Linked DNA regions of Coturnix japonica. The protein of the gene in region 2 interacts with the protein of the main gene of each other region in a pairwise test. Links are inferred from orthologs where the notes say so. Each region holds a gene or a part of one and is shown on either strand. Other genes may lie near its edges.

The links.
Region 1: the proteins of CASK (region 2) and TBR1 interact in a two-hybrid assay, tested with the Homo sapiens proteins (2 studies listed by BioGRID and IntAct). The link is inferred for Coturnix japonica from reciprocal best matches to the Homo sapiens genes CASK and TBR1.

Annotation. Positions count from the first base shown.
Region 1 is NC_029522.1:25,315,289-25,319,621, reverse strand, and holds the start of TBR1 (T-box brain protein 1), read right to left. Parts: upstream 2,831-4,333; 5' UTR 2,689-2,830; coding exon 1,997-2,688; intron 1,696-1,996; coding exon 1,541-1,695; intron 1,290-1,540; coding exon 1,168-1,289; intron 950-1,167; coding exon 791-949; intron 342-790; coding exon 280-341; intron 1-279. UniProt on the Homo sapiens protein: Transcriptional repressor involved in multiple aspects of cortical development, including neuronal migration, laminar and areal identity, and axonal projection.
Region 2 is NC_029516.1:100,754,570-100,758,799, reverse strand, and holds the start of CASK (peripheral plasma membrane protein CASK), read right to left. Parts: upstream 3,050-4,230; 5' UTR 2,516-3,049; coding exon 2,457-2,515; intron 2,330-2,456; exon of another isoform or gene 2,181-2,329; intron 1-2,180. UniProt on the Homo sapiens protein: Multidomain scaffolding Mg(2+)-independent protein kinase that catalyzes the phosphotransfer from ATP to proteins such as NRXN1, and plays a role in synaptic transmembrane protein anchoring and ion channel trafficking.

The DNA.
Region 1 (4,333 bases), on a different chromosome or scaffold from region 2:
GGGAAGGCCCTCCCGGTCGAAGGCCACCGGGCCTCTCGGAAGGCCCCGCACGGTGGTCCCGGGGCATCGAGGGGAGAGTGGACTCTCCCACTAACAGCGGGGACGGCGAAGCCCCACGAGTGTCGAACCGAGAGGACGCTCCTGGTTCTCAGCTGCACGAGGAGAACGCGGCCGCCACAACCGCGCCCTCCCCGCTGCGCGCACCGGGAGCCGCGGGCCGCCCCCTCGCCCCCGCCCGCTGCCCCCGAGGCCGCTCAGAGGCGCGGCGCGGCCACTTACGTGTCGTAGTTATCCCGGAAGCCTTTGGCGAAGGGGTTGTGGTCGATTTTCAGCTGCGTGATCTGGGGAAGGGGGAGAAAAGCGAGGGGTGAGAGCGGGAAGGTCCGCCGGATCGCCGCTAGGGCGTGGAGATAACGCGGCGGAGTGGCGTGCCCGCAGACATGGCAAAGGGAACGCTGAGATTTACTTGATTCTAAAAATCACGCTCGATATCCCACTTAACACCGTATTGTCAGAAATATCGTTACTCGATCTGCGTCCCATCATACAACCGGGTGCGGGCAGAGCCGCGAGCTCCAGCCGCGTTGAGCGCACGGAGCCCGGGGCCGAGCGGTCAGGGCAGGGAGCGGGGGGCACCGAGACCGGGGACGGCGCCGCGGAGCGCACATCGCGGCCGCGCTAAAGGAGCCCCTCGGGGCACCGGGAAACGCCGCTCTCGGCCCCGGGAGAAGGCAAAGCGGAGGGCGAGGAGAGGGGGAGAAGCTGCCGCGCCCTGCGGGGAGCGCCTTACATCGGTGTTCTGGTAGGCGGTGACCGCGATGAACTGCGTCTCGGGGAAGGTGAAGGTCTGCACCCTGCCCGGCTGGTTGGTGTCCTCCGTGCCGTCCTCGTTCACCTCCACCACGTGCAGGCGGGGCTGGTACTTGTGCAGGGACTGCAGGACCACCATCTGTCGGGCACAGGGACGGGAGCGGGGAGAAGCGGGGATCAGAACGGGGAGGACGGGGCCGGGAAGGACCCACCGCCGCCCGCCCGGAGCGCCTCTGCCCCGGCAGCCGGCCACGGTAGCGTAAAATCACGACTAAAACACGTCTATACTCGTCCGATCAGGGAGTGCGGGGTTCCGCCCAATACAACAAAAATAAGCGGAGCCGTTCCCCCACTGACCTGCCCGTTGTTGTTCGATGCTCCTTTATTGTTGGTAAGTTTGAGCTTCCCGAAGGAGATCTCCTGGCGCATCCAGTGCGCTCCCGTGTTGGGGGAGTCGGGGTGCATGTACACGCGGTTCCCTGGGCAGAACGACAGAGCGGCATCGCGGCTCGTACCGGGCCCGCACAGCGCGGAGCCCCCGCGAGGGCAGCGCCGATTCCCCCTTTCACCGCTCGCACCGCGTTCCCCCATCGCCCTCCGCTTTCTCCTCCACCCTCTCTTTTCTCAAAGCGCCGCCGACCCTTCCACGCGCTAGTCGGCACACAAAGGCTTTAATTAATCGTTCTCACCTACATATGTGTCGAGAAAAGTGTTAATTGGAGAAACTTGCCTTGTACATTGGTGTCCGCCTTGCCGCAAGGAACCCATTTGCCTCCCTGAAACCTCCAGTGGTTGGGATCCGCCAAAATTACATCCACAAAAATATTGTAGTGAGCCGTGGGGTCGAGACCAGAAATATTAAAACTTAGGAAAGGGAACATGCGCCTATAAAAAAAAAAATAAAAATAAAAATGAAAAAAAAGGCAAAAATAAAAATTTTAAAAAAAAAATAAAGGCAAAAAGAAAGCAAGCGGCGACTCGCGCCCGCGGAGGAGCCGTCCCGCTGTGCCATCCTCGCAGCTCCCGGCGGCGAGAGGGGAATAAAATCCCGGCTCGGGTCCGTGCCCGGGGCGCAGCGCTGCGCGTAGGGACGGGCGCGGGGCTGCCCGGGTCCCGGTGGCTCCCCCGGGGTGGTGGCGGCGGGCGGCTCCCGCGGCGGCTCCGCGCGGCGGCTGCGGCGGCTTACCTGCCCTGCTTGGTGATGATCATCTCCGTCTGGTGCCGGTGGAATTTCAGCCAGAGCGGCCTGTTGCACAGGTAGACCTGAGCCTTGCCCGGCACCAGCCCCGGTTGGGCGGAGGAGAATTGGTAGAACGGGGCGCCCTGGTAGGAATGGCCGTACTGCTGGGGGTAGGGGTAGCCCGGCGCCGGGTAGCCCTGCGGCGAGGAGTTGGACAGGAGGCTGTTATAGGCGCCGTTGGTGATGACGGGGTGGTGAGCCATGTAGCGGCTGGGGCTGGCGATGGAGAAGGCCGGGTGAGCGGGTCCGTGCTGGCCGGGGTAAGGGAACATGGCACTGGGCGCGGAGGCAGCAGACTGGGGCTGGCTGGACTGAGAGAGCAGATAGCGATCTGCGGCAGATCCATCGAAACTGTGACGAAGCTCGGAGACCCCGTCCAAGACGGGAGAGAGTTTATTTCTCTGGACGTCCCCTGGTGTGTCCTTGGAGTCGGGAAAATTGTCTGTATCTGACTGATTCGTCATCCCCCTGGTAATTTTTTTCAAAGGTGAACTTCTCTCCAGGTTGTCAGTGGTCGAGATAATGGGATGATCATGCAAGGCAAGCTCGGATCCGCCTGCGTGTGGGTAACTGCTGCTCACATTGAGAAATTTCTTGGAGAGCATGATAGAGGGAGAAAGACAATGCTCCAGCTGCATCGCTCTGCACCGCAGCAATAACCCTTCCGTCCCTGGAGCTGAGGGCTGCTCGCTACCAGAAGCGAGACATCCTGGGACCCTCGGTAGGCAGAAAGCACTTCATCCACCAAATGCTTCCCAAACGTTTGATTTACTTTTTTTTTTTTTTTTTTTTTTTTTTTTTTTCCTTCCTTCCCTGGGAGAAGAGATTGGCCAATTGACACTATGCAGCAATCAGGAAAGACTCACTTTTGATCTCGCTGCTTGTGGAGAGGATGAAACGGCTCCTGCCATTGGTTAACCGCTGTCAGTAATTTAATTAGATAGACATTAATTAGGATAATCACCTGGCTCCCGGTCGCGACGATCATGGCAAATTGAAGGAGATGATTTTATTGTGAGATAGAAGGAAGGCGAAGGGGGGAAGGGAAGAGCGTGTTTGCTGCTAGAGCTCGTTATTCTGTGACCTTTCCCGCATTTATGTTCTTTTTTCGACCGCGGCTGGAACGCTGCCCCGCGCTGCCCCAACACCGCGTGCCCCCGCCCCGCCTGCGGGGACGGCCGCCGGGCCCCGGGGCTCGGCCCCAAGTTGAGGAATAGCGAGAACCGTGCAGCCCGTCCGCCCCGAGGCGCCCGCCGCGCGTTCCCGGGTTCCGTAGGAAATAAATATCGGGGCGCTGTAACGCCGCGGATTATCAGCCAAACGACGCGGCCATCCGCTCTTGTTCCGGGGCTCGCGCCTCTCGCTGCTGTTTTCCCCCCACCCCCCGGTGTGACTCGGTCCCGCACACGGCTCTGAGATGGGATGGAGAGCTTCGGTAGCGCGTTGCCGGCGCGGTTCGGCACCTCGCGGAGCGCACAGCTTCCTCCCGACGGGCCGCGGCCGCAGCGCGGAGCCGCCTGGGCCCCCGGGGCGGAGAGGCGGGGGAACCTGCGGAAGGCCGCGGTGCTCCCGCTGCCCTCCCTGGGCGAACTGAAAAGCTGTTAAAAGCCCCACTTGCGTCCGTGTGACTATTATTTTTGCTCCGGAGGGGAACACACTTGGTTAATTTTTTTTACTATTTTCCCCTTAGCGCTTTGGACCCCAGGGATGCTCCCCACCACTTCTCTTCCCTGCTGACACCAGCTTCCAATTTCACTCCCGGATAAAGCAACCAGGGCCGCCCCACTGTCGGATGCACAACGGCTGCAACTTCGTGCACTCAGCCCAGGGTGTGCCGGCAGCACCGCGACCCATTACGGGGCAGGTTCAGACTCCCACCTCTTGCAGGCATTTGGGAGTCGCTCAGCAGCTCATCCCAGTGGCTGGTGTGCAAGAGAAGCTATTTTGCACACGCTGAGTGGAAATTGTTGTAAGAAAATCATGCATGAAGCAAAAAGCAGGTGTTTGCTCACAGTCTGGTGGTATGGCATAGGCAACTTTCTGCACTGTGCCTTCCCCAGTTGGTGCTTTATCGCTCTCAGCCTTAATTCTGCTCCTGACCCATCTCACCCATGTGCCTGCCTCTGCATTTCTCTGCTCAACCCCAGTGCAAAGGGAATGGGGTTGGATACACATGCAGGAGCTATGTCGAAACACATCTCGACCCCAGGAAATGCGGCCTCGAATTGTGTCGCTACCCCCATACGCATGCAGAGCTGCAATGAATTCAGTGGTGTACTGCCA
Region 2 (4,230 bases):
TGCCACGTAAGAAACGATTCATCACTCTGTCATCCCGATCAATTCTTTCACATACTATTACAGTTACTGCTCCACACTCCGGCAAAAAGCTATTATCATTGTGTTTATACAAAATAAGTCTTATCAGTTTATCGCATTTGAAACTGTTTTAAGTTTATTCAAAAGCTTCAACAAACAGGGCCACATACTGCCAGCAAGGGAACACCCATAGAGGACTTATTTCTCAAGTAGACTGTATGGGAACTTTGAGATTTCTCTTACAAAGTCAGGCAAAATATTCAGTTGTTTTACGGTCCAAAATCTCTTTCCCACACCCTTTCTGGAAATACCATTTACTACTTTAAATGACAGCGATAACTACCCATTTAGGAAGGATAAATCACACGCTTTAATATTTCATGGACCTAAACACAAGTCAGGGGCCGGATGTGCTATTTGCAAGAAGCAGATTACTCAATCAATCAATAATAAATCACGGGAAGGTGCAGACGTTTAGTTGGTGTTTCACTGATAGATGTTTAGCCAGATGCATACGTAGCAACTCAAGGCAGATTTTACATGAGGCTTTCCCCATGTTGCCTAAAGAAGAGCGGGGTGCTATCAAAAATGTGAAAGCTAATTAAAGACGCTGCATCCCCGATTGCTCAGAAGTCACCTGAGTAGCACTGCAATGAAACAGGAACACTGCTCATACAACTGTACAAATACAACTGTGCCTATTAGAGGAGGGACACAACATCCATACGCAAACCCCTTCCTACCACCACTGCTAGCTTCAGTAATCCACCCTGTTCTGTTACAGTGCTCTTGGCAGCGCCGTGCTCCTACAATCCAACACTTATCTGTTAGATCAGGTTACATCACAACACATCCAGAATAATTCAATCTCAGGTATCAGCCAAAGAAGCTTCACAATTCACAGGTTCTGAACCTTGAATCCCTTTGATATTCTCAGATCACAACATCGAAAGTCAGTGGAGCCGCATCAACATCTGGATGGCTGCGAATGAGCCATTCTCTATAAGCTCACATAGTCCTGTCAAGCAGAAGCACTTCACTTTCCTTCCAATGGCAGCCAGCTCTGAGGAAGCAGTGCGTGAACTGCAGTGGTCAGCTTAAAACCACTCATGAAAGGAGCATGCCAAAAACCATCTTCAAACCACATATAATCACTGTTTTGTTTCTCGGCTACATAAGCTCCCCACGAACAACTGGCGAAAGCCCTTTCAGCTTATGACAGCAAGCAAGGCCCTCTAAGCTTCCTATTTTTAAAAGTTGTTTGTGGCCAGGGCAAGGTGGTAATAACCGTGTGAAACGACAGAGCAGAGTGCTGAAACTTCAGCTGCCAACAAAGTAACCTGCTAAGTCCAAGACGAGCATTTTAGTATAATCCTCAGGAAAGATTAATTCCAGAATATTTTTAGCCTGAGCTCTCAAAGCAGGCAGCAGCAGATAGAAACTGTGAAGCACGCTGGAGGGGAGCGGGAGGGAGAATACATGCAGAAGAACTCTTTGTTTATAATCAAAACACGGGGAATGCCGCTCTGATTGAATTCATCCTCAGGAAGAAAGAGCTGCAGGCACCCAGAGCAGCGGCTCCCACAGCAATCTCAGCTGCTCAGTCAGACACGCAGACAATTAGAAGCAGCAACACCGCTACATCTTTCACTCAACCCAAGCACAACTATAGGAGGCGTGTGGAACGCAACGAAATAAAACAAAAATAGGATTTAGAAACTGGCTGGTCACGAAAATACAGAGAGTTGGGCTCCCGTTCGGTGCCATCTGATTTGGGGGATGCTCTGCGTTTTCTTGGTGTGGTAACGCACGGAGCTGTCATCTCCACGCAGCCCACAGGAGCGTGGCCCAAAACGGGCAGCCAGAAAACGCCGGCGACCTCCGAGGTTTGACACGAACACGCATTAACAGTTGCATAAGGAGACAGGAGAGGCCAAGTTCTCCCCCTGCCTCACACGCCGCCGGGGAGCGGAGCGAAGGCAGATCCGCGCGAGCACGGGGTGCCAGGGGCACCGCCGGCAGCACGCCGCTCATTGTGCGCCAAGGCGCGGGGAGAGCCGACACCTGGCGCGGCCACCCGAGCGATAGGTGGATCCACAGCGATCCTTCTTCAAGCAGGCAACCACCGATGGGTGTGCCGGGGATGGGGAGGAGAACGGGAGGGCTGGGCAGCGCCAGGCTGCGCGGCGGCCGGCCGGGCGGGGATCATGGTGGCTGAGGAAGCACCGGGGCGCCTTCCTTTCCCCCCACCCCCCTTCCCCCCAACCTCAGGGCGGTGGGCAGCGCCGGGGCTGCCCGCACCGCGACTCAGGTGGGTGCCGGGCACGCCATCCCCGCGCTGGGTGTGTGTGTGTGTGGGGGGGGGGGGCTCCGCTCTCCCCCATCCCCTCTCCTTTTTCTTTCTTTCTCCCCCCCCTCCCCCTCCCCGCGGGACTCACTTGCCGATCACCTCGCACAGCTCGTACACGTCCTCGAACAGCACGTCGTCGTCGGCCATGGTCCGCCCGTCAGGCGGCGGCCCCGGGTGCGGGGGGAGGAGGAGGAGGAGGAGGAGGAGGAGGAGAAGGAAGCGGGGGGGGCCGCGGGCACACGCTCCCCGCCGCGCGGCGCGCTCCCCCGCCGCTCAGCGCCAACAGCCGCAACCTTCGGCCGCAGGGGCTCTCAGCTCCTCGGGCCGCCGCGCGTGTCACGCACCCCGCGACCCCACCTTCCTCCTCTTCCTCCCCCCACCCTCCTCCCTCCCCCGGTTACTCCCCGGCGGCAGCGGCGGGCGGGCGGCTGTGGCTCAGCGGGGCGGCGCGAGCTCCATGGAGGGGATAGGCGGCGGTGGCGGGCGGCAGCGCCGGCTCGATCCCTCCCTCGCCGAGCGGGCGCGCTCCCGAGGCACCGGGGAGGAGATGGAGGGGGGGGGAGGGTGGCTACGGGAGCGCGCACCGTGCGGGAGGATAATAGTAGGAGGGGGAGGGGCGGGGAGGCGGCCGTCGGTTCCGCTCCCAGCCGCGAGGAGAAGAGGCGGCGGCGGCCGCGATAGGCGCTGGCAGCGCGGGGAGGGAGGGAGGGAAGGAGGGACGGAGGGACGGAGAGAGGGCGGGGGCGCGCGCGCGCTCCCCGCCGCCGTCACGCAAAGGCACGCACAGGGGTCGGTCGGCGCGGCGTGCGCAGGCGCGCACTGCCATGACGTCATGGCGCCGGGAGGGGGCTCCGCGGGGCGGCTGTCAGTGAGCGCGGTGGGGAGGGTTGAGCCGGCTGTAGGTGTGGGGAGGGGTGCTCCTCAGTCGGCTGCACCCTGCAGCCCTGCCTGCCCTAACAGCTCCTCTGCCCGAGCTCTGCGCCTTTGTCCGGGGACGGGTAGAGCGGATTTTGTCCTAGCTTTGAGGGGCTGTTGGCGTTTGGGGCTGTTTGGGGGTTGGAACTACATGAGGTCCCTTCCAACCCGGGTCATTCTGTGATTCTGTTTTCCTGAGCTCTGAGTTAGAAGCCTTGCAGAAGAGCGTTGTGTTCAGGTGTAGGGAGCCTGCTTTGGCAGCGGGGTTGGACTCGATGATCTCTAGAGGTTCCTTCCAACCCCTACGATTCTGTGATTCTGTGCCTGAATTAGTTGGGAGCTGTTGCAGTTTCCAAAGCGTGTAGGTTTCTGCAAAGGTCGTGTCTCCTATTTGTCTGCATGGAAACCACTACAGATAGAAGGAGCACAATGGCACTACTTGTTACTAGAGTAAATTCTCAGCTATGAAACACTGTTTTTTCAATGCTCAGCACCACTAGCTATGCATTTTCTACAGCCATGAACATGAGCCTGCATGTCATGCTCCTAACAATCCACACCAGCAGAGGTGACCCACTGCCACTGTCACCACTGCTGAAAGGCACCACCCACCGCCCCACTGTGCTCACATCCACTGCTTGGTCTCCATCAACATTCAGCATCAATGAATGTCAGTGGGTGCCATTTTTTTTCAGCCTGGAAGAATTCAGTGACACACCTTTGTATGCGCTTCCACATCAGATGCCACTGTGTCACAGTGCCCCTCTGCTGCCATCTGTCATATGGCTACAAAACGGAGCAGAATTTCAGTGGGAAGGTTTGACATCTTCTGCCATACCACCAACATCTGCTTCTGATGTTTTGGGCCAACATAATCAAGTAGGAGGCATTACTTTCGGAGCAGCCCTCATTTCTGCTGTACTAGTTTCGCACACATGCAGCTTCTT